Struthio camelus: one gene and its partner. The main gene of each other region encodes a partner of the protein of the gene in region 2 in a complex. Links are inferred from orthologs where the notes say so. Each region holds a gene or a part of one and is shown on either strand. Other genes may lie near its edges. The genes, in order: HCRT and HCRTR2.

The links.
Region 1: the proteins of HCRTR2 (region 2) and HCRT are in contact, whole or in part, in a cryo-EM structure (PDB 7L1U), measured with the Homo sapiens proteins. The link is inferred for Struthio camelus from reciprocal best matches to the Homo sapiens genes HCRTR2 and HCRT. Residues at the interface, in NP_001371201.1 of Homo sapiens: Thr111, Val114, Trp120, Pro131, Gln134, Thr135, Val138, Gln187, Val209, Cys210, Asp211, Phe227, Thr231, Ile320, Ser321, Asn324, Lys327, Arg328, Phe333, Ala334, Thr336, Arg339, Val342, Tyr343, Phe346, His350, Tyr354; in NP_001515.1 of Homo sapiens: Asn89, His90, Ala91, Ala92, Gly93, Ile94, Leu95, Thr96, Met97.

Annotation. Positions count from the first base shown.
Region 1 is NC_090966.1:7,581,716-7,596,566, forward strand, and holds HCRT (hypocretin neuropeptide precursor), read right to left. Parts: upstream 6,974-14,851; coding exon 6,953-6,973; exon of another isoform or gene 6,153-6,952; coding exon 5,709-6,152; downstream 1-5,708. Other genes in the region: KCNH4 (potassium voltage-gated channel subfamily H member 4), read right to left, coding at 1-10, 350-481, 625-858, 4,185-4,260; inactive phospholipase C-like protein 2, read right to left, coding at 8,349-8,534, 9,455-9,564, 11,242-11,317, 11,847-12,050, 12,305-14,794. UniProt on the Homo sapiens protein: Neuropeptides that play a significant role in the regulation of food intake and sleep-wakefulness, possibly by coordinating the complex behavioral and physiologic responses of these complementary homeostatic functions.
Region 2 is NC_090944.1:35,193,218-35,208,874, reverse strand, and holds the start of HCRTR2 (orexin receptor type 2), read right to left. Parts: upstream 8,614-15,657; 5' UTR 8,412-8,613; coding exon 8,180-8,411; intron 1-8,179. UniProt on the Homo sapiens protein: Nonselective, high-affinity receptor for both orexin-A and orexin-B neuropeptides. Triggers an increase in cytoplasmic Ca(2+) levels in response to orexin-A binding.

The DNA of each region.
Region 1 (14,851 bases), on a different chromosome or scaffold from region 2:
CGTTGCTTCTCTGGAGTGGGCGAGAAAGGCTCAGTGAGTGGGAAAGCTGCCCGGCCACCGGCGGGACCCCTCGGCACGCAGGGTGGCTCAGCCGAGTTCTGCAGGCTCCAGCAGCTGGGGCAGCTCTGTCCCCTTGCTCCCGTCCCGTTCCAGGACACAGCGGCTCCTGGGAGCTGCCATGGTGCAACAGAGCAAAGGCCATTTTGGGGATGCTGCCTGTGCTACCAGGAGCACAGGCTGGGCACACAACGCTGGGCAGGATCCAGCTGGGAACCAAGAACCCCTTTGCCAAGCGCCCACTGTGCATACCGCTCCCGAATGCCAACCCCATCCCATGGTCATGGCTCACCCTCCTTCTTGTCACCCAGGTGGCTCTTGCCCCGGGTCTCTGTGATGTCCTTGAAGGAGAAGAGGAAGAGCACCACCTCCCCCTTCTCGTTCTTGATGGGCATAATGTCCAGCAGGCACCAGAAAGCAGCTCCTGCATGGAGGAGAGGAGCGGTGAGGGCAGGACAGGCCCTCTGCTGCTCTCCGTGCCGGCAGGTTCACCCCGAGCCCAGGACGGGCAGCACCCCGGGGCGCCAGCGCCGCATCCCGCAGGGCCCAGCCCCGCGTGCCACTCACCCCCCTTCTTGTAGAAGCAGACCTCGGTCTGGTACTCCTGCTTGCCGTCCAGCACCTTCTCGATGCGCTGCAGGACGGGCTCGCTGGTCTCTGCCCCGCAGAGGAAGCGGCAGCTGCAGTTCTTCTGCATGACCTCCGTGCGGGCGAAGCCGGTGAGGTCGCAGAAGCCGTCGGAGCAGTAGACGATGGGGAAGCCGCGGAGGACCTGCGCGTTGGCCAGGATGAAATTGCTGTCTGAAAGGAGAGAGACACGGCTGCTGCAGCAGGCAGGGGGCCACCCTGGGAGGCATGAACTACCGCTGCACTGTGCCGGAAGGGGACCAGGTATTCATCTCACTGTCATCTGCTCCCCTCTGCAGACCCTGCTCTCCTCCTGCAGCGGCAAAGTGCCCAGGCCTCTGGCTCCCTGCACCACTCCCCAGGCCACACATGGAGTCCCACCTCCACCGGCCTTGCCCCGCAGTTCCCAGGACCATCCAGCCCACCAAGGGCTGGCAGAGTCAGGCAGAAATGTGCACCATCACGTGAACCAGGGCCCATCTCCAGCCCAAGCTGGGGGGCCCCCGGGACAGGCTCCTGGGGTGGTCCTTCCACTCTGGCACCCCAGAGGCCCCAGCCCCGCTGTGCTGGAAGGGGAAGGAGCCCAGATATAGCTCCTGGCTCCCATCGTCACAGAGACGCGATCCCAAGCGACGCGATTCACGCCTCCCCCTCGCCATCTGCTGCTCCCACCTTCCCGCTGGGGCTACAGCGGCTTAGCAGGAACAGCAGCAAACCCGGCCAGGAGCTGCTGGTGGGGACATGGCCAGGCTGCAGCGCTGGGGCCCCCAGGGGGCCACCCTGGCTGAGAGGGAGAGAGAAAAGCCCCCAGCCCCACTGCGAATGCTTGGGCTGAATCAGGCAGTCCACGCTGAGCCAGGCAAAGGAGATGTGCAGGGGAAACACCATCTCTGCCCTGTCCCAGCACCGCCAGCACTCGTGGCTCCCCCAGCAATACTCCCACCCCAGCAGCCAGGTGGCTCGGGGCAGACGAAAGCCCTTGCCACCCCCCAAGCTCCTGCGGCTATTTTGGCACCACATCCCACCCAGCCGCTGCCAAGGCCATTGCTGGCCGGGCAGAGCAGGGCCCGGAGCAGCACCTAGCGCAGGCGCTGCGCCAGTGGGGACAGATGGCCTCGTGCAAAAGCGACACCAAGGAGCCAGCGCGCGCAGCAGCTGGGCTCACGGCATCCGTGTTCCCACCCGCCAGGGGCCCCTCCACCCCACATGCCAGGCACTGGCAGCAGGAAACACGCTGGCTGCCCGGTTTCACAGCGAAGGAGAGGGAGGCCAGCCGCAGATGACGGCACCCACAGAGAGGCAGCGAAGCCGTGCCGGGACCGCAGCGGCCTGGGCAAGGGCAGAAGGGGCTGTGGAAGGGGTGCCAGCCACACACAGCCTGGGGTGGGGGGGGGCTGCGCCAGGGCCACCGCAGCACAGCTCAACCCCGGATTAGCTCAGAGAAACAAAAATAGCTTGAGGCTGTGACTAAGGCCAGATTTTGGCTCTGATGAGCCAGGATTACTGCGTTGTCCGGGGTGTGTTATTAGAAAGGGAAAAAAGGACTCGCCTTTAGGAGCAGCTCAGCCATGAGAAGGGGAATGTGGCCGTGTCGGAGGCTCAGCGGCCCCCTGCACAGTGACCGGCCTGCCTGGACAAGTGACCTGAGGCCAAGCAGGGAGCAGCTGCGCGGGACAGCCAGGGTTAACTCGCATCATGTATCACTGCAGCTAAAGCCCCTCTCCATGGCAGATAAAGCCGATAACAAACACATCAAACCCGCAAAGCTGGACACTATTTAAAAGTGCCTGGAAGGCGGGTTTGAGCAATTGAAGGCAGGATGCTGTCAGCCAGCTTCATTCCCAGGCATCCCCAGGGCAGATTCCTGAGGCCTTTCTCCTACTCTTCCCAGGCAGCTCCCCTGGGAAGAAAGAGCTGCTGCATCTGAAAGCCCCGATCCAGGTCTCCAGGGCCCCAGGGCCGGGAAAGGGGGATGCTGTCCTTGCTGCCCACAGAGGGCTGCCAGCAGCTCAGAGCTGAGGGGAGCTCCTGGTGCCTTTGGAAGCTGCTTGTCTCTGAGCCGGGGCTGGCTGAGGGGGCTCATTGCTTTGTTATGCATGACGAATCTCGAGGGTAACACCCCCAAGGACAGCTTCTATGGACAAATGACATCCTGTGCCAGCAGGATGGGTCTGGGGGGCCCCTGCTCCAGGTGATCTTGGGGAGGCCTGGGGTCAGGACTGAGCAGGACCTGTCCCTGAGTGGCTGCCAGCAGCTGGCACATGGCACCGCTGCACAATCCCTTCTCCAACGTGCCAGGGCCTTAATCCATCCTAGCACTGGCACATGGACACAGGGAGGAGCCCAGTTCCCAGGGACACTCCAGCACCTCCAACTGTGGAAAGAGGCTGCAAAATAGTCAGCAAGGACAACAGCCGTGCTCCGAGCCCCGGCTCTCAGTATTCACCTCTTCCAGGGACACAACTCCAGGCAAACGAGAGGCTTTTCTAACTAGGCCCTAGAGGTGGGCAGGGCCCCGCACGGCACCTGAGCACCAGGAGGTGAAGCCCGTGGGGACCCCAGGCAGAGGTGCCCGTGGAGAGCTGGCCTGTGCAAGCAAGGGGAGTTTCTCCGGTGCAGAGGTCCCGGTGAAGCCCGGTGCGATGCTCCCCACACCCCTCTGTGCACCGCGGAGGCGACGGGCACACGCGGCTCCCGACGGCTGCACCGGCGGCTCACGGCGCTGGGGATGGAGCCGAGCCCTTTCCCTCGCCCCAGCTGGCTGAAGCCCCGGCCCGGAGGTTGCCCCGGGCCCCCCGTGCGCCGCGGCCGGGGCTCGGCCCCCCGGACCCCCCGGGCCCCCCGGACGGACCCTGCCGCGGCGCCGGGGCCTCCCGGCTGGCCGGGAACTGTCCGTGGTGCTGAGCGGCCCCGACGGCGGCGGGAGCGGCAGCGCGGCCAGTCCGCCCTGGAGCGGGGTCTGCGCGGGGCCCCGGGCCCACGGCGGGGTGCTGAGCCCCCTGGGGGGAAAGGGAGGCCCCGGGGTACCGAGCGCCCTAGGCTGCACGGGGGTCTGCGCGGGGTGCCCAGGTCACCGAGCACGCCCGGGCTGCGCAGAGGGTCCCGGGGGTGTCGACCCCCCTGGGCTGCACGGGAGGGTCCCCTAGCTGCAGAGGTCGCCTGGGGGAAAGGGGGTGTCCGAGCCCACCCAGAGAACACGGATGTTCCCGGGTCACCCAGTCTGGCAGGGCTGCACGGGGTGGGGGGGGTCCCGGGGTGCCGAGCCCGGCTGGGTCTCACGGGGGTCCCCGAATTACTGAACTCGGCCAGGGCCGCCGGGGGGTCCCGGGCCGGCGGGGACGGGATGGAGAGCGTGGAGGGTCGTGTCCCGCCTAGCCCTTGGGGGGGGAGTCCCCGCCCCGGGGCGACCCCCCAACCTCCCCACCGCTTCCCGGGGGCACCGCCCCCCCCTCCCCGGACCCCCCGCCGCAGCGGGCCCTGCCCGGGAGGCGCAGACCTACGTGTGCCATCGAAGCGGGTGGCAATGGTGTCCAGGAAGGTGTTCTGCGGGGCCAGCAAGCCCTTCATCACCGGCATGGTCCCGCCGGGCCCGCCCGCCGCCCCCGGGCCCTCCGCAGGTGCCACCGGCTAATCCCGGCTCGGCTCGGCTCGGCCCGGCCCGGCCCGCCCGGGGCCCCCGCTCCGCCCCCCGCCCCGCCCCGCCGGCACCGGGAGGGGCCTCGGCTCCGGCAGCCACCGGCCCCGCGGCACCGGCAGGCACCGGGGGGCACCAGCCCTTGGAAAGCCAAAGCGGGGGGGTCCACCGAGGCTGGGGAAGGGGCAGGATCGGCCCGTTCGGGGGCATCTGCCCAGTCCCAGCCCACGGTGGGGTCCCACTGCAGGAACGGGGGCGCGGAGCTGGTGGAGGGTCCCGGCACCCTGCAGAGCCCCGTTCCCCCACTGCCCTGTCTTGCAGTAGGCCAGGGAGGCACGAGGCAGCTGGGAGTGGGACCCCGCCCTGGGCTAGGACCCGCAGCCAGCCCGCAGCCCCCCAGGCCAGCCGTTGCACCCAGGAGAGGGGCTTGGGAGCGCTGCTCTGCAGAAAGCTGGCCCAGTGGTCACAATGCAAGGCCATGCCCTGGGAGATGCCCCTGACGGGGACAAAGGGGTGACAGGACCCAGCTAGGGCTCTGCTGGGGGTGGAAGGGTCACCGTGGGGGGTGGAGATGGGGGTCCCGTGGCCTGCAGGGGGTCGCTGGAGGCTCCCTGGTGCTGCAGTGGGGGAGATGCTCTGAGCCCCCCAGGGCCCTGCTTAGCCCCAAAGTCCCTGTGGCCGGTGGCTGCCCTGCCCTGGCAGCCCTCACGTCCCCCAGCACCGAGCTACTCCCCTTGCTGCAGCCCAGGTGCAGAGAGCCACAGCGGTCCCTGCCAGGGGGTCCCCGATTTCCTGGGAGAGGCTTCGTAAACACCCCTGCACCCAGACACCCTGCCTGAGGCTCGGTTCTCCCCAGGTCCGGTCCTGCACCCAGCCAGCCGAGCCCAGGCACACCTGCAGCATCTCCCCAGCTCACGCTCCCCGCGATGGCGCGGTTGAGCCCCACAGCCCCTGCTGCCCCGCAGCAATCCCTGCTGTGCCAGGGAGCCTCTGGCCCCCTGGGCTCCTGCCGACTCATTCTCCCTTCACCACCACCCCCCACCCCCGGAAAAAGGGGCCAGAGCTGGAAACGTGCAGACACAGCAGCATCAATCCGTGTCCTGGCACAGCGGGTGAAGGTACCAGCCTCGCTGGCTGCCCTGGCACAGACCCTGGCAGAGCCCTGAGCCCCGCAGGCCCCATCCCCAGAGACAAGGCAAAGCTGCGTAACGTCAGGCTACCATTTATTGTAAAAGGCCAGCGGCGCCCACAGTGCCCTGAGCAGGCTTGGCCAGGGCCACAAGGAGGTATTTGAAAGTACTATTTACATCAGGCTCCACAGTTTGAGTCCCCAGGGTCTGTCGCCCTGCCGGGATCCCCCCTCTACTCCCAGCTTTCCCCCCCAACCATCTCAGTAAAAGCTCTTTGCAGCCCCCTGGGCCTGGCCCTTGGTCGGGTCCTTCCCCAACTGTCCCTGGCACTCCCCGGGGCCAGCAGGGCTGGTGTCAGAGCGGCTCAGGGCCGGCGTTGGCGGGACGTCTGTGCCCGAGGGGCAGCCCGACGCGTCGTGGCAGGCGGCACCGGGGCGCTCCCCTCGCTTGCCCATGGTGAGGATGCCTGCGGCATGGTTGCCAGAGCTGTGCAGCAGGCGGTAGAGCCGGCTCTGGAAGGCCGGTGGGACGCTCTTCCTCTTGCCCAGCGTGAGGATGCCGGCGGCGTGATTGCCCATGCCGTGCAGGAGGTCGTAGATGCGGCAGGAGCAGGTCTTCTGCCGGCAGCACTCGGGCACGTTCTGCCGGGCAGCGGCCAGGGAGCAGAGCAGGAGCAGGAGCAAGAGGCAAGCAGCTCTCTGGAGCTACCGGAGCAACGGGCTGGTGTTAGGGCAGGGGCAGCCGGAGGGGCTGGGGCAGCAGGCCCATGCGTGGCCACCCCGCTTTTCCAGAGTGGCCAGCCAGACGGCCAGCACCCAGCCGGGCTCGGCTCCCACCTGCCCGGTCGCTGCCCGCACGACCACGCTGCTGGGGTGTCCCAGCTCCAATGGGCAGAGCCACTGCTGCATGGGGACAGGGCTGTCCCCAGCTTGGGCTGCAGCAAGGGAACACAGCAGGAGGGGACAAGGCTCACAGCTGGTCCTGGCTTCCCATCCCTGCCACCTCGCTGCTCTGGGAAAAGCTCTCCCGAGAATAGCCCTGGAGCATCACCCTTCAGTGCCCGGTGGTACGGGCAGCCCTGCACCCTCCAGGGATGGGGGAACCTGTGAGTCCTGCTCCACACTCCCCGTCCAGCCCCGCAGACCAAGGCCCCGCTCACGCTCCGACCATGTTTCCTTCCCGCCGCAGGAACAAGCTGCAGGTATCCTCGCTGTCGCGCACATCCTGCTCTGGCGCAAGGCAGCAAACACCCTCCCTCACTGCAGATCACCGTGGGACGTGCAGCGAGAGCCCCCGTGCCCTGCCCCTGCCGTAGCACACTGCAGCGTGCACTGTGCACCCCGCTCCCTGCCCAGCAGGCTGCAGCCCCAGCCCATGCGGGGCCGAGTCCCGGTTCCCAGCCCGCACTGCCGCCTCCCCAGCATCACTTCTCTCCCAGCTCTCCCACGCCGCCCGTGTCCCCAGTTTGCCTCCACTCCGACGGGCTGCTTGTCCCTGGCCCCACCTTGGTGTTCGGTGTCTCCATCGTCCCCGGGTGTCTTCAGGTGGCCGAGCGGCGCTGGGGCATGACCCACCAGGAGCCGAGGAGCAGAAGCCGCCCTGAGCAGCTCACCTTGGCCACCGGGCTTTATAGGGGGCTGTCCCCCACCCATCCCCAGCCCTCGCGGGGCCCTGCACAATAGTGCTGCCAAAAATACCCCGGGAAGCGGAGGGGCTGGCGGGAGCCGGGCCGGTCTCCCAGAGACGCGCACTCTTTGTTCCCGGTAGCCCGGAGACCGGCCAGGCCTTTCCCCTCATTTGCAGCTCCCCATTGTGCGGGGCCGGCGCAGGGCGGGCGGCCGGGCGCGGGACGCCAGCGGCTGCGGAGCCTGGCACTAATGAGGCTGTAATTGCCTAAGGGAGCCGCAGCCGGGCTGGCACAAAGCGGCCGGAAGGTCAGCGCCGGGAGGACGCAGCGGGTCCTCTCCCGACTGCCTGGCCCCAGACAACGGCAGCTCGCCGGCTCGTTCCTCGTGGCCCCATTAGGCTAATTACTGCTCCAGAACAAAGGGGAGATGGGGGCTGTGCAGCTCTGTGATGGAGCTGGCACGGCCCCACGGTGCCCATCCCCAGCGCCGGCAGCACCACGCTCCCCCCTCTTCATCAGCCCCACGCCTGCCCTTGCCCCCCAGCCGGGCACGGAGACGGAGCAGCAGGGCACCAGCGTGGGTCTTGCACACTTTATAACCGTGCCACAGCCCTGGCCCGACCCCAGACCGCCCCTCGCTCGTGGCCTGTGCCTGGGATGCTCTCGCCCCAGAGAAGTCCAGGATGTTTTCCCTGATGCCAAAAGCCACATCTGCTCCCGCCTGGGGCCCCCGGCTGCCCCAGCCCCCTGCGAGCTGCGCCAGGGAGCCTGGCCAGCCCCTCTGCACCGCAGGGCCCTGGGGACTCCAGCGAGGGGACGGCTCCAGCCAGGCAGGTTTTCCCAGGGCTGGCAAAGGCAAAACCTGCAGACCTGAGCCCAGAGATGGGGCTGTTTGTCCAGCGGGCACAGCAGGCTCGAGGGGTACATGCACACGGCCATCGGGGTGCCAGCACGCCCAGCCGGCCCCGCGGCCGGGCGCTCGCGCTGGAAGCGGATGCAGGAGGAGCTCGGTGGGGCTAGGGGAGATGGGAGCAGGGAGGTCCTTCCCCAAACGCCCTGCTCTGTGCCCAGAGCTGGTCCCCAAGAGCCTTCACCGCTGCACTGGCCCCGCTGCAGCCCTTCAGCTGCCCGTGGGCAAGGCAGCGCCCTGCCCTGCGTCTCCCTCCAGATGCACCAAACGCCGGCGGGCAGGCCAGTGCCCCCAGCCCGGGGCACAGGGGCGATGCCGTGCCACGGGAGCGCTCAGTCCGGGCCCCGGTGCCCCGCGCCGGGGTCAGCAGCACGCTGCGTCACCGCCTCCTTCCGTCTCGGGGATGGGCTCCAGCGGGGTCCGCAGCCGGGAGGGGTCCGGCGAGGCCGCGCCGTTCCTGCCGATGCCGCAGGACTGCCCCGCGTTGTGGATCTGCCACAGGTTGTCCAGCGCCTCCGCCTTGGCGTGCTTGAGCAGGTCCGCCTGGCCCTGCCGCCGAGCAGAGAGGGGCGTCAGGGGGCTCTGCGCCCGGCCCCAGGGGCTGCACCGGGCTGGTTTTGCCACCCGCACGCCCGGCCGTGCCGCGCTGCTGCAGCCCACCGGCCAGGCTGTGGCACTGCGGGAAGGGGCCCCCCCAGCTGCCCCCTTCACTGCAGGCAAAGGCAGGGGGCACCGGGAACGGCTCCGGCTCTGCGTGGCCCAGACCTGCCCGGCAGTGCTGCACGGAGACCCCCGCGTGGAGCAGGGCCTGCCCCCGGCCGGGGCGCGTTCCCACGCCGTGGCTGGCCCCGCTGGCAGGGCCACGGTCCCACCAGGGGGGAGCACGGGCTGCCGGGACGCGGGCGCATCCCGGACCGCCAACACGGGATGGCGAGAACCAGACCGCTGCATCTGCGGAGGGCACCCAGGGCGCTGCGGCCAGGGTGCGTGAGCCGGACCGCACACCCCAGCATGGAGCCTGGGAAAGCAGGGTACGGAGGCGAGGCCGATGGGCCGGTTCGCAGCCTGCTCATGCAGCCTCCCGGGACGCTTTGGCCCATGCTGCCTGGGGCTTTGGGCAGGCTGGGTCAGGAGTCCCCGGAGGGCAGCGTCCCCCAGCAGCACCCCTAAACACCCGCAGCAGGGAGCAGCGCAGACCCCTGGGGCTCCCCGCTGGCGGCCATGCAAAGGCAGCGGTGAGGGACGCGGGAGAAAGCAAAACGCCTGCCCGCCGCATCCCAAGCCCCGAGGCGCCGGCAGGACCCGGGAGGGCCCCACACCATCGCCTGCTGCCTCGGCACCATTGCTGCTCCCCAGGAAGCCTGCAAGATGCGCTCGGCTGCCCCGGGGCACCCCTCGGCCCCGACCGAGCCCGCGGCCCCGGGGGGTGCACCCGCACCGTGGCAGGATGCAGCCCTCGCCCCGCTCACCTTCAGCACGGTGATGTTCCAGGCGAAGCTCTCCAGCGCCTTCTGCAGCTTCCTGCCCCGCAGCCCCTCCTTGGCCTCGATGCGGTGCAGCTCCTTGTGGAAGTCCATGCCTGGGGCGCGGGGCACAGCGAGAGCACTGCTCAGCCGGGCAGGCCAGGGCAGCTCCCTACCCCAGCACCGAGGGAGCAGGCTGGGCTCCCCGCTCCGCCGCCGGCTCCTCCGGGCCCCCAGCGCGCGGGGAGCGACGGGGCGCCCGGCTCTGCGCCACGCTCAGCCCCAAACCTTGGCGCGAGCCCTGGGAAAAGGGCTGGAGCCGAGGGTCCACCCGGAGGGCAGCGATTGCCCCCGGCACAGGCACAGTCCTTGCACACCCTGGCCCCGCGGGGGTGGCAGCGCGGGCCCGCCGGCCCCCCCGGGCGGGAGCAGGGACCCCCGCGCCGCGCACCGCGTGACGTCCCCGTGAGCGGGTGCTATATTTACCCCTCCCTGACGAAGCACCGGCTCCGGGGCCCACGCAAGGGCTCCCACGCCAGCCCGCTCGCCCGCGCGCCGTCAATCAGCACGCCCCCGCCCCCCCGGCGCCGCAGGCAGCAGCCGACCCCCGGGGTGCAAGGGCCGGGCCGAACCCTGCGCGACCGCCTCAAGGTGCAGCTCGGCCGCCCCCGGGCCAGTCCGGTGGGGCGATGCCCCCTCCGAGCTGCTCTTCCCCCGGCAGCACGGCACAGACGGGCTCTCGCAGCCCTTCCCGCGGAGTGGCGGACCAGGGTGCAGAGCCCCCCCCGGCTCAGGCCCCCGCCACCGGCTGCCCCAGCCCCCCGGGGCCGTAGCCGCCTTGCTCGCACTGCCCCACGCGCTGGCAGCGGCCGCGGAGCCGCCAGCCAAGCGCTCGGGGAGATTTCCAGGCTGCCGCGCAGCCAGAACAAGCAGGGCTGCTGGCAGCAGGGCTGGCAGCGGGTCGGGGCCCCCCTTCCTCCCCAGGGCGCCCCGGCAGCCCCCGGTGCAGTGGGCAGCGGGCACGGGTGCACAGTGCTGCCGCGGGGCCGGGGCGCCGGCGGCGCGGGGCAGGCTGCCAGCGGCACCTGCCCGCGGGGGTCCAGCCACGTGTCGCAGAAGTCACAACACTCAGTTGCCGCTTCTACCGTCAGCCCCAGCCTGTTATTTCTGATGCTAATTATATTCTGGCGTTTGGCAGCTAATGACTCCCCTCCGCTTCCTCGGCAGCCTCCTCCGCACTCCTCCCTTCCCTCCCGGCGCTTCCTGCGCTGCCCGCCTTCCCCAGCCGCCCGCCCCGGGGGTCCCGCCGCCCCGTGCCCTGCTGCAGCGCCGGGCGGCTCGGCGCCCTCGCTCCGGCCCCGGGGCCGGCCTGCCCCCTGCCCCTCGCGGCGCTGCCCAGGACGTGGGAACACCGCAGAGCCGGGCTCCGGGCCGCGCCAGCCGGGACGGTCGCCGGGGAGCTGCTCCGCCGGCGCCTTGCAGCCCCGATGCCGTGCGCCGCCTCGAACCCTCTGCGCACAGGCGGGCGCGCGGACACACGCGTCCCCGCTCCTCCCGTCCACCTGCACCGCCAAAATCCCAACAGGCGGCGGTGCCAGGCTGCTGAGCTCATCCCCGCGGGGACACGCGTCCAGGCCAGGCCGGGCTCAGCAGCACGACGTCCCCCACGCCCGGCACCACGGGGGCACCCGCCGCAGGACCCGGGGTGCACGGCGGCCCCGGCGCCCCGGGGACCGTGGGCAGGTGCAGCAGAGCTGTGCAGGGGGCTGCGCCGGCCCTTCCCGGGGACCCACCTGCCTGCTGCGCCTGGATGAGCTTGCCATACACGGCGTCGGCGGACTCGATCAGCGTCCGGCTCGTCTGGATCATCTGGGGGAGAGGAGCGGGGCGGCGTGAGCAGCGCCGCGGCCCCGCACGCTGGTGGGGGGGTGCTCGGCCGGCTCTGCACCCCCTGCCCCGGCCCTCCCGCGCCCCAGCCAGGTGCAGGCGGCCAGCGCCTGGCCGGCGGCCAGGTCTCCCTCCAACACAAAGGAAGGAAGCAGCTCCGGCTTCGGCTATTAATGGGATTTCTCCCGCCAGGCGGGACCGCAGGATGCCCCCCGGCCCGGCGCCGGCGCAGGGGCTGGGGCAGCCCGCGCAGGGGGATGGGGTCCGCGCTGCCGAGCGAACGCCCCGGGCAGGGATGGAGCGGCGGGGAGCCTGCACCAAGTCGGGTCCCTCGGGGGCACCCGCCGCTGCAGCCCCCCAGCCCAACCCCTCCGCCCCGGGATGGATGCCAGCCCCAGCGCGCCCAGCTCCGGGTGAGCGCAGCGAGGCAGGGTGGTGGCCTGGGTGCGCCCCCCCACCGCGCTCCCCTGCGAGGGGCAGAGCCCCGGGCCCCCGGCAGGACGGCCCTTACCGTCTCGTAGGCGGTGAGGACCTTGCGCAGCAGGTCGGGGATGGGGCCCTGGGCCTCCATGGGGGGGTACTGCTCCGCCAGGTTGAGGGTGACGCTGGGCGCGCTGTCGCTGTGCAGCAGCCACGCCGCCACCGTGATGATGCACTGCTTCATGTTGGCGGCGGGCGTCAGGCCGCACAGCTCCTTGAAGGAGACCAGCGCGTTCTGCGGGCAGAGACCGGCGTCAGGGGCCCGGTCCGGGGAGGGGGCCGCCGACCCCTCGCTCCCTCCCCTGCCTGCTGGGAACGGCCCCGTCTCCCCTAGCTTGCTGCTCCAGATGAGGCTTCTCATCCGCCCCCTCCGGAGCCGGGATCAGGAGGGACACCTGGGTGCTCCCGATTCCTCGCCGTCCAGCCCCATCCTGCCCCAGAGGAACCCACGTCCCGGCTCCCCGCGGGTGCCACCGCTGGGTCTGGTACCTGCACGTTCTCCCGCAGGTCGGTGGCCTCCCGCAGCGGCTGTGTGGCTGTCCGGAAGACCTCGTCGATGGCCTTAATGCCGGTGGCCTTGGTGGAGGTGTACTCCCGCACGCGGCGGCCGCGGCGCCCCGAGAGCCCCCGGCGGTGCCCCTTGCCCCCGCCGCGGCGGTCCGTGATGGCCACGTGCACGAAGAGGGTGGCGTGGGGCAGGGGCTCCCCGGTCAGGGACTGGAGCGGGACGTGGCGGTACCCGGGCTGCAGGCACTCGAAGGGGATGGTGTACTGGGCGATGAACTCGTCGCCGATGTAGTCATCGTCCAGCACCACGAAGCGCAGCACGGCCAGCTCCGGCAGGTTGATCTGGAACTCCAGGCTCTCGTCGAAGACCGGGTTGTCCCCGCTCTGCAGGGCCGTCTTGGTGCGGTGCTCGGCGCAGTCGGCCGGGATGCCGTGGATCTCGGCGCACACGTACGGCTCCACCACCTCCCCCTTGGCCCCCGAGCCCTTGGGCTTGGGCAGGTTCTGCCCGCTGATGACCTTGAGGTGCAGGAGCTGGGCAGGCACCCCCGGCAAGGAGTCCTTGGCGTTGGCACTGAAGTAGGACACCTCTTCCCGCATGATGGCGGGACGGAGGACGTAGCCGCAGGCTCCGTTCTGCCGGAACCAGCCCGCGTTCAGGTCCATCATGAGCCCCGGCGTCTGGTAGTTCATGGCCACCATCTGGCAGCCGCATTTCCAGAAGTCCTGCGGGTTCATGTTGCTGGCGTCGATGCGCATGGGGCTGGGGTAGACGCGGGAGAGGAACCGCTTGTTGTAGCTCACCAGCTCCGCAGGGCACTCGTTGGCGAAGCGCCCGGCCTCCACCTCGCTGAAGGAGCACATCTCCCAGTAGCGCTGCCCCCGCCGCGAGCTCTCGAAGTCCTGGAAGGGGACGGCCTGGCAGAGGCTCACCAGCTCCGAGAGCTCCCGGCTGAGGCGCACCCGGCGCAGGGCACCTCCCTCCGGCATCTCCCGGTCCTCCTGGCCCAGGCGCCGCGCCAGCTCCCAGCCTTCCTCCTCATCCGACACCTCGCCCTCGCTGTCCTCACAGCCGGGCGGCAGCTTCTTGCCCTTGATGAGGATGCGGCCCTTGAGGTGCTCCGGGGAAGGCAGGTAGGACTCGGCGGGGTTGGGGGGCTCCACGTACAGCTTGTCGCCCAGCGTCTTGCGCAGGCACTGGGCGGCGAGGCGCTGCTGGGTGGCCGAGCAGCGCACCACGAGGCAGAGGATGAGGGGGTAGGCGGAGGCGGCGAAGGCGTGCTGGTCGATCAGCCCCACCACGGTGCGGAAGGGCACGCAGGAGGCGGCCGAGGGGCTGGTGTAGACGACGGGCTCGCCGTCGGGACCGTCCCACAGCACCAGCTCGATGCTGCGGCAGCCCAGGCCCAGGGCGCTGATATAGCCGCTGATGTCCGAGCTGCCCCAGAAGTTGTCCTCCAGGAGGCAGGCGCTGTGGGCAGAGCTGATGTAGTAGTGGGAGAGGGGCTGTGCCATGTCCTGGCACACCTTGCGGTGCTGCGGGTCGAAGATGGAGCAGTCGGAGGAGAGCAGGTAGCGCGTGAAGCCGTCGATGGCCAGGTAGCCCTTCTCCCGGCCCTCCTTGGAGGGCTCGTACTTGCCGACGATCTCCAAGCACTTCTCCTCCGTCACCCCCTCCATGCCCTGCTCCACCTCCAGGAACATCAGCAGGTCCTTCAGGCCCAGGTACTCCTTGTTGCTGGAGAACTGCACCAGCAGGAAGAAGATCTCGGGCCGGGTGCAGAGCTCACAGTAGGCCTCCACAAAGAGGTCGCAGGCCACGTCCATGCCCACACGGTCGCTGGCTTTCTGCAGCTCCTTGAACTTCAGCTCGATGGTAGAGGCCTTCATGCCTGGGTTCAGGGCTTTGATGAGCTGCACAGCCCGCGACACAGGGATGCGGCCAGACTTCTCCAGGTCAGCGAGGTCAAAGACGGAGGAGATCCAGGAGGTCCGAAGGCTGGGGTGGCCGGTCCCAGGCGCCTCGGGTGTGTGCTTGCCATAGGACACCAGGTACCGGAGCCCCATCACCCATGCACTCACCACGTCGGCTGAGCTGGCCACCAGGTCTAGGGACTCGTAGTTGTCTCCATAGATGATGGAGAAAGCGCATTCGTCTGGGAACTGGTCAGAGAGGCCGTTGCTGCGCAGGATGGGGGTCTTCTTGCCCACGCGCACCTCTTTGACTGACTTGATCTCAATCTTGGCCTTCTCCGAGTCCTTCTTGGAAGGCTCCCAGCGCACGGAGCGCATGTCCGAGTCCAGCACGAAGAAGCGGCTGTACATGCGGGAGTTGGAGCGTACCTTCTTCAGCTCGCAGCCCTCCAGCATGAAGGAGATGCAGGCGGCCGTGCTGTTGATCTTCCGGTCGTTGGGCATGGTGCTGAAGGACACTGTCTTCTTCTTCTGCATGGGCCGCTGCCGAGAGCCATCCTGCCAGGGTGGGGAGAAGGGAGCAGAGCTGTCAGGGCCAGTCCCGACCAAGAAGGC
Region 2 (15,657 bases):
TTGTAACAAAAATATATTGAAAAATTCCTACAGCTGGTAACAACACCCAGCAGATAAGAACTGTCCTTGTATATGTGATGTGACAGCTGAAAAGATGGATAATATCCTTGGTTGCATACACAAAGGAATCACATAGTCTGTCAGTGAGGTGATAGCTCCTCTTCATAAGACACACTAGAAACACATCAACAGATTTGAGCAAAATCATAAAAGTATAACAAAAGAAGTAGATGGTTAGATCATGCTCCCTTATGCATCCCAAGTAAAAAAGTCCATGTGAGAGGGAGTCTCATTTTTTCTAGTAAAAGTCTAGAAATATACTGAAATTGTAAGAAATATGGATGAATAATATTGAACAAATGAAATCTTAAAATATTTTATTGAATGCCAGCCTAACTGAAATGTACTTATGAGGAACTTTCTCCCACAGAAGATAAAGAGAATCTGTATAAATAAAAATAGGTACCTAATAACTAGTCTGCTTACAGCAATGTAATTCCTGACATGCTTTCTAGCTACCAAGTGCTCTGTTGTACTCTGACTTTTAAAAGGAATTGTGACTTGGGGTTTATTGGTTCCTTCTGTGCTCTCCTATCCACTCTTATACTGTATGTACTTCCTCATTATTATGGTGCTAGAGAAGAACATAAGAACCAAATTATGTTTGCTGGAAGCTAATCTCTATGAAGCAGAACTGGGAGTAATAGCACAATCATCTAATTGGCACAGGGTTCATTTTCTAACTTAGTCGCATTACATAATCTTAGGCAATTAACACTGTAATGGGAATGGGAGTTATTACCAGAAGATCAGCTATTCAATAAAAACAATTTGCCAAAAATCTCAGTTCTGGTCATCTCTGGAGGAATTGAGAGGTACCATCACACAGTTTCTTGAGCTAACAATACTGATTAGCACAGATCAGTTTTAAACTGTCCCTACACACACACACGTACATACACAGAAACACGCGTGTGCACGCACACACTCACACACACCATATTATTACAACTATGAGTTGACATTTCTGGTCATCTCTGCAGAACTGTCTGTGCTGAATGATCAATGATTTCATGACCGCATTTGAAGTACTTATTTGTCTATCTGTAGTAACAGTAAAAAGCCTACAAAATCCTTACATACACTTCACATTAGAGATGTAAGGACCCTAAATATAGCTGTTATACTGCATATGATTCTACGATGAAAAGATTTCAGACTTCACTGTGATTCAAACTAAAATCTGAGTGGCTCATTAAAATCAAGGTGAGCTTCATGCCTGAAATGCTGTGCAACTTTGAAACCTTATGCTTCAAAACGCATCCATCAATCAGCATTAAATGGATTTAAGTTAGGAAAAATCCTTCCATGTTTATTTCTAATGTAGGTGTAAGAATTCCTTCTCTTTAGACTATACAAAGAAAATACCATTCACGATGCAATGGGAATGCTACAATGAATATCTTGCACAGTATAACATGTCTGAAACTACATCATAAATCCACACTGCTAACATCATATTCCAAAAATTGGAAGTCTTACTGTTCTGAGAACCAGGAGGCAGAGGACAGCTTTGCCAGGGCCAAGCGCACCACCCAGCCCTGCATCCTCTTCTTCCAGCCCAAGGTTTGGCCACCTAAGCCTGAGGCCAGCTCTAATATGGTGCAACTGGGTAAGCTGGGGTCAGACCGCTGGGAAAAGAGCTTTGGGAGACAGCTGTGACAGCTGTGAGGAGGTCTCTTATTTGCTTGGGAACTGCATTTAAGCTTAGGCTCTTGCCTTTAGCTCTGGCAGAGACCATGTTGTTTGTAAGTGCGCCTGTGGCCGGTCATGAGCCATCCTGAACCAGATTGTGCTGCTGACCCACTGACTTGATTTCTTGGCTTAACCTCAGACCTGCCTGGTTTTAACATACTCAGCTGGTTGGGCTGGGCTGTTGGCTGACCTTGGTGACTCTCACTGGACTTGCCTTGCTCTCCTTGCTTGGGCACTGTGGGGCTGTGCCCTTGCTGGCAAGGGCACTGCCCTGCCCACCTGGCTACCTCAGCTCCTGGCTTGCCTTCCAGGGGGAGCAACCCTCTCTTGCTGTTCTATGACAAATTCCATTTGTGAGCAAGCACAACACTGAAAGCAAGTAAATCAGCTGCTAACAAATATCCAGAAAAAGGTTTCACTTGACATGCAGCACAGAAAATAAACACTGCTTAGAAAAACTAAGCCACATTCCAAAACTTTCCATTTTGGAAAGATGGTGAGTGAAATCAAGTAGTGACAACAATCTTCAGTTACATTTCATTTGGTAATGCCCCAAAGGCACCTCTGTCTGAAGGGTACTTCACTCACCTAAAGCGTAAGTTCTGATAGTCTCTGTTCAGTTCCTGGTAGACATAACTCTACTGTTTTTAGCAGTCTCACTGAAGCTGTGCACTGGCTGAAGAGTTTGCCATTTTTTTCCTATTTAATCTGCCAAATGCATGTTAATGTGCTTTCCCTTGCCACCCCACCTGATGTTCTGGTGTTAGTTAGCTCTTTTGAGGGAGCTGCTGAGTAAGTAGCCAGCTCTTAGTCTGAGGCTTATGATATATCAGATAAGAGATATTTCATCAGCAATTCTATAGACAGAAGAAAGGAAGAGACTTGAATGGAAGAGGAGTCCTAAATTTTCAGTTTCCAACATACACAAGCCCCAGAAGTAAGACCAACAGAATCAAAGATAATTGTGAATTAAACAGGATATGAGAAGTCTTAGGAAAATAATATAATTTTTATTTCTCTTTCAATGCATTTTTATAGTTTTTGATCCTTGAGACTGGGATCTTGTCCATTTGTCCAAATTCTAGTCCTCCTCCTTTGTCACTGAATAGTTCACAGCAGAACTAGTGTCTTTTGGAATGGTGTTAGAACACAAAGAATCAAACTGCTCAAGTACGTTCCTTTTCATCCATCTGTAAAAGCAGCCTCTAGCCAGAGGTAACTGTCATTTCTTTTAGAAGAACTGAAATAAAAATCAACACAATTTTTATTAATGTTCAAGTTGTCAGGTGACCTCTTGGAGCTCACCTTCCTTTAGTCTCCTCAGTCCCTGCATTGCCCTTTTTCAGAATCAGATTCAGTAAGACTGCACTATTCATGCTACGCGGTGTAACCTTTCAGCATAAAGGATGATAATGGAGAATAGAGCTGTGTCCCCTCTGGACTCTCTGGTCAGAAGGGTTATACAGTGGAACTAGACTTAAGCATCTGGATATGAAAATTTATAGAGAAATAGGCATAATTTTAAATAAGCTTCATCTTTTAATGCATTTCTGCTCTTGATGTATCTCAGAAGGATATGCATGGCTGTTTCTTGTTAGTAATTCTCATGATATTACACAAACACCAGTGTAATTCAGTTGAAACCCTACCTCTTACATAAATGAAGCTCATATATTCTATATCATAGGTAGATGAAACAATATCAGTACCATATCATTTCCTATGTGGTATCTTTTTAAATATGACTAAGCAATCCTAGGTACTCACAATCTAGGAGATAAAAGTGGTTCTCATGCTGATATTACAGACCTCAAGCCCTTGCAATGCCAGATTCCCCAAATACTCTGGACAAAATGAAAAAAAAACCTCAAAATGCAATGAAATAAAATATGCCTCATTTACAGCCATCAAATAGGATTCATGAAGATCATGGCACCATTTAAGAGAACACATGAATCATCCTATTCTACCAACACTTGCATGTACACATAGACCTCAGTAGTTCACCAAATATATTTAAAATCGTATTAGAGAAAGACTCGAGAGATTACAGTTACCTGTTTATAGACATTAACTTGAACTCAGGTGTTAGAACTACACAAAACCTTTCTTCTACACCCAAGAAGAAAGCAGGCCTAAAATCAAACTGCAGTAAGTAACAAACAAATCACCTTGAGCTCTATGAGCCAGACTGCGAACTCTCTGAGGAAAGGACCACTGTTCAGTTCTCTACATCCTCAGCATAACGTGCTGCTAGGAGTTACTATAAAATATATTATAAACAATAGACCTATCTGGTTCTGAGTTGGAAAGAAAAGCAAATATCATCAAATTATGTGAGTAAAGAAAATCTCTTGGATCTCTCTCTGACACGCTGCATGGCCTCCAAGCCTTGGAAGCCAGCAATGTTGTGGAGTGTCAAGCTGGGAGCTGGCAGTTTGTGTGTCCTAGGACTCTTAGCTCCTGCCTGCTCCAGGATGGGCTGCCAAGAGATCCCAGCAGGCCAGCTGGCAGGAAACCAGGAGGCTGCCTTCTTCTGTGTTGGGTCTCTGGCGAAATCAAGTGATCTCTGCTGTACGTTTTGATTTTGATGAATGAGTGAGTGTTCCCTGAAAGAAAGCATTTAATTAGAAAATTTCTGACCTACTCTAATGAATAACTTAAACAAGAACCATTCACATTCTTTACCTGTGTAAACAGAGTTAAATGTATGGATTTGGGCATTAACTATTAATTCCTTATGGTCTTATTTCAGTTTTTAACTGCTGCAACTGGTTAAAGTGGAATGATCCAGTAGTAGTCCAGTGACGACAGACCTCCATGCATCCTAAAAATACCTTTCCTACCTTAATTTTCTGGTTTTCTATTTTTAAATAATGTTTTCAAATAAAGAAGAAATAGACATTTACTCAGCATACGTACCCAGGTAAGAAGTACTGCTTTGCACTACCCTTGCCAAGTAGTTGCAAGAGCTCTATTCCTGGGCTGTGGCATAAAAATCTTTTGATCTTGTGTGCAGAACAGGAAGTCCTTACTCTCAATATCTATTCTGCTTCTAGGGATACATGCTGATGTTATCACCCAGGGTTCACATTCTTTCAGTGTTAGTGTAACTACGTCTTAAAACTTCGGCCAGTAATTCTCAGGAAAAAAAAATTTGCTATTGCTTGAGGTTTTACACTGCAAGTGAAAATGCAGCTATGCAATAAGGGCATGTTTCTTTTCAGTGGCTCCAGATGAGATCTCTGGTGGGCAGCCAATGTGGGCACACATGAGAATCAGTAACATGAAGCACTTGAAAGCAGTAATCAGACTTGCATTCAAATGCAAGGACTTGCTGATGGTTTTCATTTTAGCTGGTTTTGCAGCAGTTTGGACAGTGCATGGCAATTCTCCTAATTGAATAGAAAGCGGCAATGCAGACCTTGTTATATGTTACTATTAGTAGGGAGAATTCCTGCAGTGTAGCTCAGCCAAAAGTCCAGTAGATGTCAATCAAAGGTCAAGCTTCTGATTCTACCCTTAGCTGTTAGTTAACTGTCAGAATGTTTTAATCCAGGCTATTGCTAATGTCTGAGGAAGGTGCTGTGCCTTCCATCTGTACAGATGTTACTGGGGGGATACAACGTATTTCCTCATTCCCTGCAAATGTGCTATTGAAAATAAGAGGCAGATATATCATTGTACAGATCAATACAGGGAAGAGAAAAATCTTCCCTGGTTTCGTAAGTGCTATCCAGATAGGACATGGATGAAGCAGAACCACAACACTGGCTTCTCATGCTGCACCAGTTCAGCAACATTGGTCAGACATAAGCAGAGGAACACACTGCATCACTAAGGATGACTCTATAAACCACTAAAACTCTCTTTAGAAACACTGTTGCCTTGTGTTCAAGGCAGTCCATGAGTAAACTCTAGATTAACCCTGAATACGGATTTTTCAAATTGGAAAAATTATCCCCTGAGAAAGTTCAGAATGTGTATCGCTTTATACCGTATTTTTGCCACTCGCCAAATAAACAAACAAGGTTTCATAAAAACCTCTTTGGAAAAAGAGCATAGGCCACATCTGTTCCTCTCCCCAAATGCCTGCAGTCAGTGCATTATGAGATTTCTTAAAGACGAGTTCAGCTAATGAGCACCTGCACCTGCAGATCCCACGAACAACTTCTTGCCTGTAAACAGGAACAGCGCTTTGGGTGGGTGAGGTCCCTGCAACGCACGAAGGCCCTTTAAACGGCAGACAACTTTGGCAGAGGCAGCAGCACGACCAGCACAAAGGAGAGGTGGACAGCCAAACACCAACTTCCATCCCCGACGAAAAGAAAACGTGCACAAATGTCGGGGAGGAACGTTTCCACATTGGCCACGATAATGGCTCTGTTTGCATGCGCAAAGAGAGAAAACTGTTTCTCCTCGTGGCTTTCACGGGGGGGGGGGGGGGAAGTGCAAACAGGCTGAGAGCTCCTGTAGCCGAAAAGATTTGACCTTGAGTTTTTAAAGGCTAGAGGACCGCCTGTTTACACAATGGGTGGTGGTAAATAGGTAAAGACAGATCCTAAAATCCCCCCCAAAAACAGTCTTTGCTCAGGATGAGAACGAAGGACGGTTTTCTTTGTAGTTTAAGTACACCTTCCTTAGGAAGGCCATTAGCACTGTCCGTCAGGCTCGCTGCCGAGCAATGGAGCGTGCAAGCAGGTGTTCAGGCTTCTGAATAGTGTAACCTCTTTCGCTAAAGACACACTGATTGCGTGCATATTCGGTATTTATCAGTAGTTAGCACACCACTGCAGAAAGAAAATAGCAGTATCGGTTCTTTAAAATAAAAAAGAGATTTCCAAAATGTTGCCTTTGGCTTCAGTCTCCTTCGCAGCTTGGCTAGAGAAGCCCACAAAGCTTGCAGATAGCAACCCTGACATACATAAATCCTTTTTAAAAACATGAATGGAAGACCCTTAAGGCAGGGCTCCGTACGTTAGTGCGCCACCCTTTCCATGAAAATATCAATGATGTAGATTTAAAAAAAAAAAAATTGCAAATGGCCGGGAGGAGTGGATTCTCATGGCGTAACCAGCTCCCTGGCGGTCATACCGCATGCACGTTCATTCATAAATGCAGGATTTATTAGGGCTAACGTACTCTCAGCTGATGCGAGAATCAGCAACATAAAATGCAAGTGTCTGCAGTAATAGGAAACAGCCGGTCGGGATGCAGATGCCCCAGGGCTGTGTGTGTGTGTACCGGTGTGCGCTGCCCGCACGGACACAGCCACCAACACATTTCCTTAGAGTCCGGTAAAAATAGCCGGAGTGTCGGAGGCGGGAGCCTCACGCAAGGGGAGCTCAGCCCGCTCGGAGCAGCCGTGGCCGTGGAGGGGCGCGGGGCCGGGGGGCGAGCGGGGGGCAGCGGGCTCCGGCGACGGCCCGCTCAGAGCCTCCGCCGCCTCCGTGGCACAGAGCCCGCCCCTCCCCGCCGGCCGCTCCTCTCCGCCCGCACCTTTCAACCACACGTTCGTTCGCCGGCTGCCAACGACCCTCCTCCCGCCGCCTCCCCCGGGGCAGCCCCTGCGCAGCCCCCCTGAGTGCGGAAAGCCGCCCCCCGCAACGGCCGCCCGCCTCCCCTTCCCCAACCGCCCCGTCGTTGCGCGCGCGCGGCCTCAACGGCCGCCCGCCCCTCCCCAACCGCCGCCGCCGCGCCCCCCGCCCGCCGGCTCCTTCACGGATGAATGGGAGCGGGGAGGGCGCGAGCGGGAGGCGGGCTGCCAAGCGCCGCCTCCCCTCGCTTCCCTGAATGAGAGCGAGGAGGGCGCCGGCCTCCTCCTCCTCCCCCCCCCCCCCGCGGGGGGGCCGGCGCCGCCGTCGTCGCTCCCCGGGCCGCGGGGCACCGGCCGTGCCGGGCTGCGCTCTCTGCCGGCCGGGGGCTCCCGAGGGTGGCACAGCCGCCCTCCCCGTCGCCCCCCGGGCTGAGGCTAGTCCGTCTCCCCCTCTCCCCCCCCCCCAGCTTGTCCCTGAAAACATATGTGGGTTTATTCCGGGCAGCGCTCGCGCGGGGCTCTGCCGGGCGGGCGGGGGCAGCAGCCGCCGGGCGGGCGGGGGCAGCAGCCGCCGGGCGGCCCCGAGCGCCGCGGGCCGGGGGGCGGCGGCGTTCAGCACCTGGGCCCGGCGGACAGGGGCGGCCGGCCGGCGGCCCCGGCGCTGCCCCAGCCCTCCCGGCGCTGCCGGCTAGCGGGAAAACCGTCCAAACCGTCCGGCGCCGAGGGCTCTCCGCCTCCGCCTAACTTTTGCCCCGGCTGCCGGAGGCGGTTGTCCCTCCAGAGGCTGCGGCGGGAGGTGAGGAACTCGCCCGGTTTCTAGCCGTTGAGAAAAGCCGCCGGGCGAACCGCCCCGCCGGCTGCACGGCAACTTCTGGGAGCGAGACTCACCCAGGACGTTCCCGACGAGCGCCACGACGAACACGATGATGTAGCCCGCGATCAGCGCCCATTCGTATTCTTTGGGGTGCAAATACTCCTTCCAGAGGTACCGCAGGAACTCCTCGTCCTCGTAGTCGGCGGAAGGGGTTAAAAGAGCCTCCCGCGTTTCATTCAGCTCTGGGGAGGACGACCAGTTCCTGCAAGGCGGCGGGGAGTCATCCTCCAGGCTGGGGCCGGACATCCCTGGTTGCGGTCCGGCTCGGAGCAGAGCCGCTCAGCGCTCCAGCGCGCTCGCCAGCCCGTCCATCGAGACGCGCCGCTGCCGGCGGGCGGCGGCCGCTGGGGAGACGGGCAGAAAATGACGCGGGAACGCGGGGAGCCAATGCGGGCCGAGCCCGGGCTCCGCGCAGGCCCCGCGGGCGCGCAGGGCGCGCGGCCGCCGCGGCGGGGAGCGAGCGCAGCGCAGGGCGCTGCCTCCGCCGGCGGGGAAAGCCGCGGCGCCTCCGCACGGCGCCCCGCTGCCTTTGCCCGCAGCCGTGCGCGCTCCCCGCACGCGCGCACGCCCGCCCTCGGCTGCCGCGGGCCCCCCTGCCCCGCTCCGGTTCCCCTTGCTAGTGCGTTTCCCCCCGCTGCTCGCCCTCAACCGCGTCTCTTGTTCCCGCTTTCACACGTCGCACATCACAGGGCGTGAATGCCAGACGCTTGCGCGCTCAAGGACAGGAGTTCACGCGCGGCGGGGGCAGGCTGCTGGCTGAGGGCAGCTGCTGAAAAATGCCTGGCTAACGAGACTGTCTCCTCAGGGTGCCCCTTAAAAAGTTCTGCTGGGTGTGTGACCAAAAAGGAATGAATTAACCCCAGGGGAAAAATCCAGAAGGGCACTGAAGAGACAAACGTGTGCTTTTCTTGGGTTTTAGGATCGGGAGAGCTCGTTGTGGGCTTCAGTCTAGTGTGTAGAAACACCCTGCCCTGAGGGTGTTTCAGCCATCCAGCTGGGGGTCTCAGGAGAGCAGCTCCCCACTATTTAGCTATTCCCAATTGAGCTGAGCTGGCAGAGAGCAACTGAACAGAGCCCAGAAGCCAAGCGCTACTTAAGCAGCGTGATAGGACTCCTGGCTGCTGGTCATTGCTTCCTGGACTGTTTTCGTATTTTGCCCAGTGTACAATGGGCAAAAAGTCAAAGGGAACTGAACTGAAAGTGAAGGGACGGGAAGTCTGGACTTGTCCCTCCTCGTTGGAAAGCAAACAAACAAATAAACAGACAAACAAACCCTGTTATCCAGATAATTTGTTATCCAGGTAATTCCTAGCTGAATGATTTAATGAGCAGGGTATAAGCACCACTTTCTTTGTGAAATGCCACACCTGGCTCAGTTAAATCAAGTAATTTATGTGGAGGGTCTGCACCTCCACAAGAAGGAAGGAACCATTGTGCTTCTCTAGTTCCAAAACATAGACATCACAGAGAGACAGAAATTCAGAAGCACTCTGGTGTTCAGCTCTAGACGGTACTTAATCATTCTTTGCAGGCGTGCAGCCTGCTCTGTTGACTGCAAAGTCCAACACAGCATATGCACACCTGTTGTTGCCATTATCTATTTCTATAGATCTGCTCTCCTAGCTTTAGTTCCCTCTCCATAAAATAAAGAAAAGATCTCTTTCCTATTCCACAGGGAAATTGAGAGGACTTTTTAGGATAAATACATTAAAGACTGAGATATCCTCAGATATAAGGGTAGGATCAGCACCTAGCTTACATAGATTAGAAGGGTAGATTTTCATAAAGATTAGACTCTCTGCACAACGTGAAAACATCTAAGATTTTATTAGCTGTGTTATGAGTTTTTGAAAGATATTTGTGATCTGAGAATTCAAGAATGCAGATGTATCTGGTAATCAACAGAAATAGATATTTAAGGAGCTTGTCATGATCTTCACTAATGGTGAAGAGACACAGAACATGACTATTTCATGGTCAGTAACAGATATCACACTCGTGATAGATGTTTCATGTTTTACAATGTTGTTCCATAACTTCAATATTTGTTTCCAAGTTGTCATAAACTCTGCAACAGGTAATGCCTTTTTTAACATAGAGTGCTAGGAGTCAAGGAATGTTTCCTTCTCCCTCACCAATAGCAAGGAACTGAATTAAAAAATATACATATTAAGAATCAACATAGTTTTATGGAAAATGGGTCTTACAACTCATTATTTTTCAATAAGATTACAAGTTTGACTGATAAAGGCAACTGCATAAATTTGTCGTTCCTGGACTGCTGTAAGACATTTGCTTTGATTGGTACAACATGTTCTGACTAGAGAGACAGGATAATAAGGAATCAATATGGCACACATTATAAAGATTAAAAACTAGCTAACTAACAGGTCTCAGAATGAAATGGTACATGAAGAATCATCACTGAGCCCATGCGTTTCTCCTGGTCTCAAGCAGGTCAACTCTTGGTTCTGCTACACTCAACATTCAATGACCTTGACGAAGCTGACAGATGTTACAAATATCAGGAAGAATCAGCTAAACACAACCTCCCATCAGGAATCCATAGCCAAAAAGGTTAATGTGATCCCTGATGGTATGAATAAGTATACCTTTGAACGTGGATTAAGGTAGACAGCATTATAAGGGAAACTTGACTAACGAGCTAAAGTATTCAACATGTACCACAATTTACTACTGAGGAAACGCTTATCAAGTTGAGTTACTACAGCTGTACATTTTAAAATCAAGACTGGATGCCTTTCTGGAAGATAAGAGCTAGTTCAAATGGGAATTAATTCACAAAAGTCATATGACCAGCAATATACAAGAGCTTAGACTAGGTGATTACAGTAGTCCCTTCTGGCTTTCCAATCTGTGAAAGTGCAAAAGAGATTCAGCTGATGAATTTTAATGCTGATTTATCTTTTCTTTTAATTCCATTCTCATATATATATATATTTATATATATAATTATAACTATATTTGTACCAAGACTAATGCAATTTAAATTTGTCCCTTGTATATGTAAGTGAACAGTAAATGCTCAAAACTGTATAACTCTTATTTTGTTAACTGTTTTTCAGTTCAAAATCTGTTTAACATGTGATTTTAAAATTTATGAAAGAAAGAATATACTGGCTATTCAGCATTTAAAAGAAGGATAAATTCAAGGTTATATCTATTAACCTTTTTACCTCAGTAGAGTAATGTCTTATACTTTATTTAGCTAAAAGGTTCACATACATTAATATATTTTCTAATCCATAAATTTCCACTGCTAATCCCAAAACAGTGAAATGAAATTATCAGTCCTGGAAGATGTGTCTTGGGCTTTTAATGCCACTTATTATATGGTATTAGACCATGTGAATATAAATCAAACACACATTTGTGCTTTATGCCATCTGATAGCTCAAAGGAACCGGCATTCATAGAAAAAGAAAAAAAAAACAACCCTAATTCAACATCCAAGTTTTATTGCTTCATCAAGCTCTCCATAATAATCATTCTGTTGCAGACTTAACGTTTGTACTGATCATACAAATGGGCCACATTTCTTCATATGTTAGAGACTAGCCCTTTCATTTTAAAATCTATTTGATTCAGAGGATTAGTTCCATACTAATCCAATAGCATATTAAATGAGGAGCCTTTTTTTCACAGTAGAACAATTTTTAAAATTTTTGAAGACTTTGATTGAAAAGGCAGATGAGCTTGAGGGTTACTGTTCAACCTTTGCTGAACATTTTAGCAAGTGCTTCCATTCTTGGGAAGCAAACCATACAAGCACGGCTGCTGGGGAGAAACACACTACTGTGTTGGCAGCACAGATGAATCGTGTGAATATGCCCTTCTTTCCCATCTTCCTTTGACTATTCTGATTTAATAGCTTTTCTCTGCCCCCTTTCTCTCTGTTATGCAATATGCCACACCATGCCTCAGCAGAAAAACAATCTTCTCGTTTATTTGCTGAAGCCATCCTGCTCAGCCATGTCCCAAAATTTGGATGTGAAGCCCCTCTGGTATCTTTTCTCCTTTAGTCATGGAGACTCCTTTCTCCATGTCAAGGTGGATCTGCTGCTTCCCTGGAAACAGAGCTAAGTAGCTCCTGCAAAGCAGTTGGGTTATTATCAACTAAACAGACTGTGAAGAAGCGAAGAAGTTAATTAAGAAGAGAGATGCTAAGAGCAGAAGAGAAAGACTGATAGAAAAGGCAGATCTGGAAATCTCTACAGCCACAAAATTCCATGGGGAAAGGGTAATAACTACCAGTCAGTAAGGTGGAAGGAGCCACAAAAGAAAATGAATGCTATATAGTTTAAGAAAAGAATGAACTAATGAGCAAACGCTATAACTGAACATAACTATGGTCCATCAAACAACATACTTGCAGCACCACCTTTCCTTTAGGCTCTTTTTTGTCTTAGTGTTAATTTAGTAATAAACTGTAAGTTTAAAAAACAAGACTAGTTTTAACACGATAGATATTATTCAGACGTGCTATTGAATTTTTGGAACCACGGGTGATGCAAGAAACATCCAGCAGTTAATCTTGTTTAGCCAACTTTAGGCATTTTTCTCGTTATATGCAGAAAACAGGGTCCTGTTCAGCAGGATTCTGTTTTAAAAATTCCAATGAGCTTGCTAAGGCACTGTTACACGAATATATCAAGAATATCAGCTATATTCTATGGATTTATTTGCTCACTAATCCCATTAAAATGAGGCACAGCTGGGGTGAGGTGCTCTAATACTACAGTGATCAGAGAAGAAAAGATCAGCAGATCCACCAGTGTGTTTTAAGTGAAAAGGTCTGATTCTAGTCTCATTCACACTGCTGTAAGTTAGAATTAACTTCATTCATGTCAGTAAGGTTACTTTGCTGTAATACAAATTAAAATGATACATTCCACAGTCGTGCAAATGCAGAAGATCTAAAAGTCATATGAGAATCTGAGTCTTGGTGAAAATTTTATTGTGCAGCCAACAATGGAAATGCCTGTGCCCTTTCCTGCATATTATAGGTACAATTTCCAACTAGGTACAATTCCTATTAAAAAAAAGAAAAAGAAACAAAAATCAGTGCAAGTACACTGTTTCTCCATCCATTTCCTGGACCATTTGCTTATTAACCTCTAAGTACTAAGAGCTGTTCAGAAAAAAATGGCAATTCTATTTGCAATATGCACTCGTCCACCAAGTCTACAAACATTTAAAAGCAAACAAATCGTTAATGGTCAAGGCACAGATGTAATCTTGATATAACAAATTACAATACTCCTTTCCACAGAATGTCCCTGAACTGAATACAGAAGCCAAAAGAGGGATGGATTTTTACTCTTTTTCATAAGACAAGACACATTCAATGAAAATATCAGTTAGCAAGTTTAAATAAGCAAAAAAGAAAGAAATACTTCTCATTCTTTTTATGTAAATATTGGAACTCATTTCCGCAAGATATTGTAGAAGCCATATACAAATGGCTGAAAAATGATTAGGAAAATTTAATTTTAAGTCCATTAGAAGCTGTAAATGAAACAGTTTGGATGAAACACTGCACTCAGGAATCCTGAAGACAGAGAAAGTGTAATTCCAAGTATAACCTGTTTCTCAACGTTCTTTTCCCAAGCGTCTACTCCTGACCCATTTGGGGGTAGTGCAGGATCTTGGTCCAACCTGAGACAAGATGGACACTTTAATATTCTAGAGTATTTTGAGGAGTACCTAGAAGGAAGGATCATAGAGCTTTTTGATAAAGGATTTGTTTTTTTAAGGGAAATCAGTGCCATTCAGATGAACTTAGCACATCTAGTGCTCTAGAAAAAAAAGGTTTTATTTATAGAAAATAATGGAGATTAGAGCTCTGGGTCTTTAAAACATGTGGCAAGGGGCAATCTCTATTCTGCAGAACATACACGTGAAGCAGAGAAGGAAAATCAAGAGTGGGAAGCAAAACAGTCACAAGGACTGTTTTAAGTGACATATCACTTCCAGTCATACAGAGGATAAATGACAGAGACAAGGGTATGATCTGTATCTTCTGCATTCAGGTTCACTGACCTACTGGACCACACTGACATTAGATCAGACCCAAAATACTGGATTTTGCTTATGTTTTCATCAGACTATTTCTTACTTTGTTCTCTAGTACCACATAAAAGCAGACTATACAGGATGAGGTCAAAGATCCCTTTAATCTCTGTTACATCTCTGACAGTGGCCAGGAATAGATGTTTAGAGAACAACGTGAAGGTAAGACAAGTTTGCAGTGATATTTTCCATCATTACAGTTTCCCATCTTTGTGCAGTCACCAAGTTCACAGCTTTGTTATTGGTATGGTGAATAGGTCTTTGTGGATTTTTCTTCTGATAATGTTGTTTGACTGTTTTTTGAACCCCTCCAAACTTTTGGCTTTCAAAGTAACTAGAAGCAATGATTTCCATGGTTTGTTACAATGTTCCTGCTTTGTTATCTTTAAACCTGCTGCTGGATAATTTTATTTATTTTGATTGTTCATGTATTGTAAGAAATAAAATACATGAGAGCACAGCTAACAGGTAACCAACAGATCACAGAGTCATAGAATGGTTGAGGTTGGAAGAAACCTCTGGAGATCATCTAGTCCAACCCCTCTGCTCAAGCAGGGTCACCCAGGATTGTGCCCAGACAGCTTTTGATTATCTCCAGGGAAGGAGACTCCACAACCTCTCCGAGCAACCTGCTCCAGTGCTCAGTCACCCTCACAGGAAAGAAGTTCTTCCATATGTGCAGGTGAATCTTCTTGTATTTCAGCTTGTGCTCATTGCCTCTTGTCCTGTCACCGGGCCACACTGAAAAATGTCTGGCTCCATCGTCCTTTTATATGTTCCTTTCAGATATTTATAAATGCTGATAAGATCCTCCTGGAGCCTTCCCCTCTTCAAGCTGAACAGTTCCAGCTCTCTCACCTCTCCTTTTACGACAGATGCTGACCTCATGGAGCTTGGTAAAGGGAAGTGCTGAATCCTGCCCCTGGGAAGGAATAACCCCATGCATTCATAGAGACTGGGGGCCGGCTTGCTGGAAAGCAGCTCTGCAAAGAAGGACCTAGGGGTCCTGGTGGAAAATAAATTGAATATGTTAGCAACGTGACCCTGTAGCAAAGAAAGCCCATGGTATCCTGGGCTGCATTAGGAAGAGGGTTGCCAGCAGGTCAAGGGAGGTGTTCCTCCTCCTCTATTCAGCCCTGATGAGGCCACATCTGGAGTACTGTGTCCAGTTCTGAGCTCCCAGTACAAGAGACATGGATGTACTGGAGGGAGTCCAGCGAAAAGCAGCAAAGGTGTTGAAGGCACTGGAGCATCTCTCCTACGAAGAAAGGCTGCGAGAGCCGGGCCTGTTTAGCCTGGAAAAGAGAAGGCTCAGGGGGGATCTTTTCAGTGTGTATAAATATCTGATTGGAGGGTGCAGAGAAGACAGGGCCAGACTCTTTTCATTGAAAAACTGAAC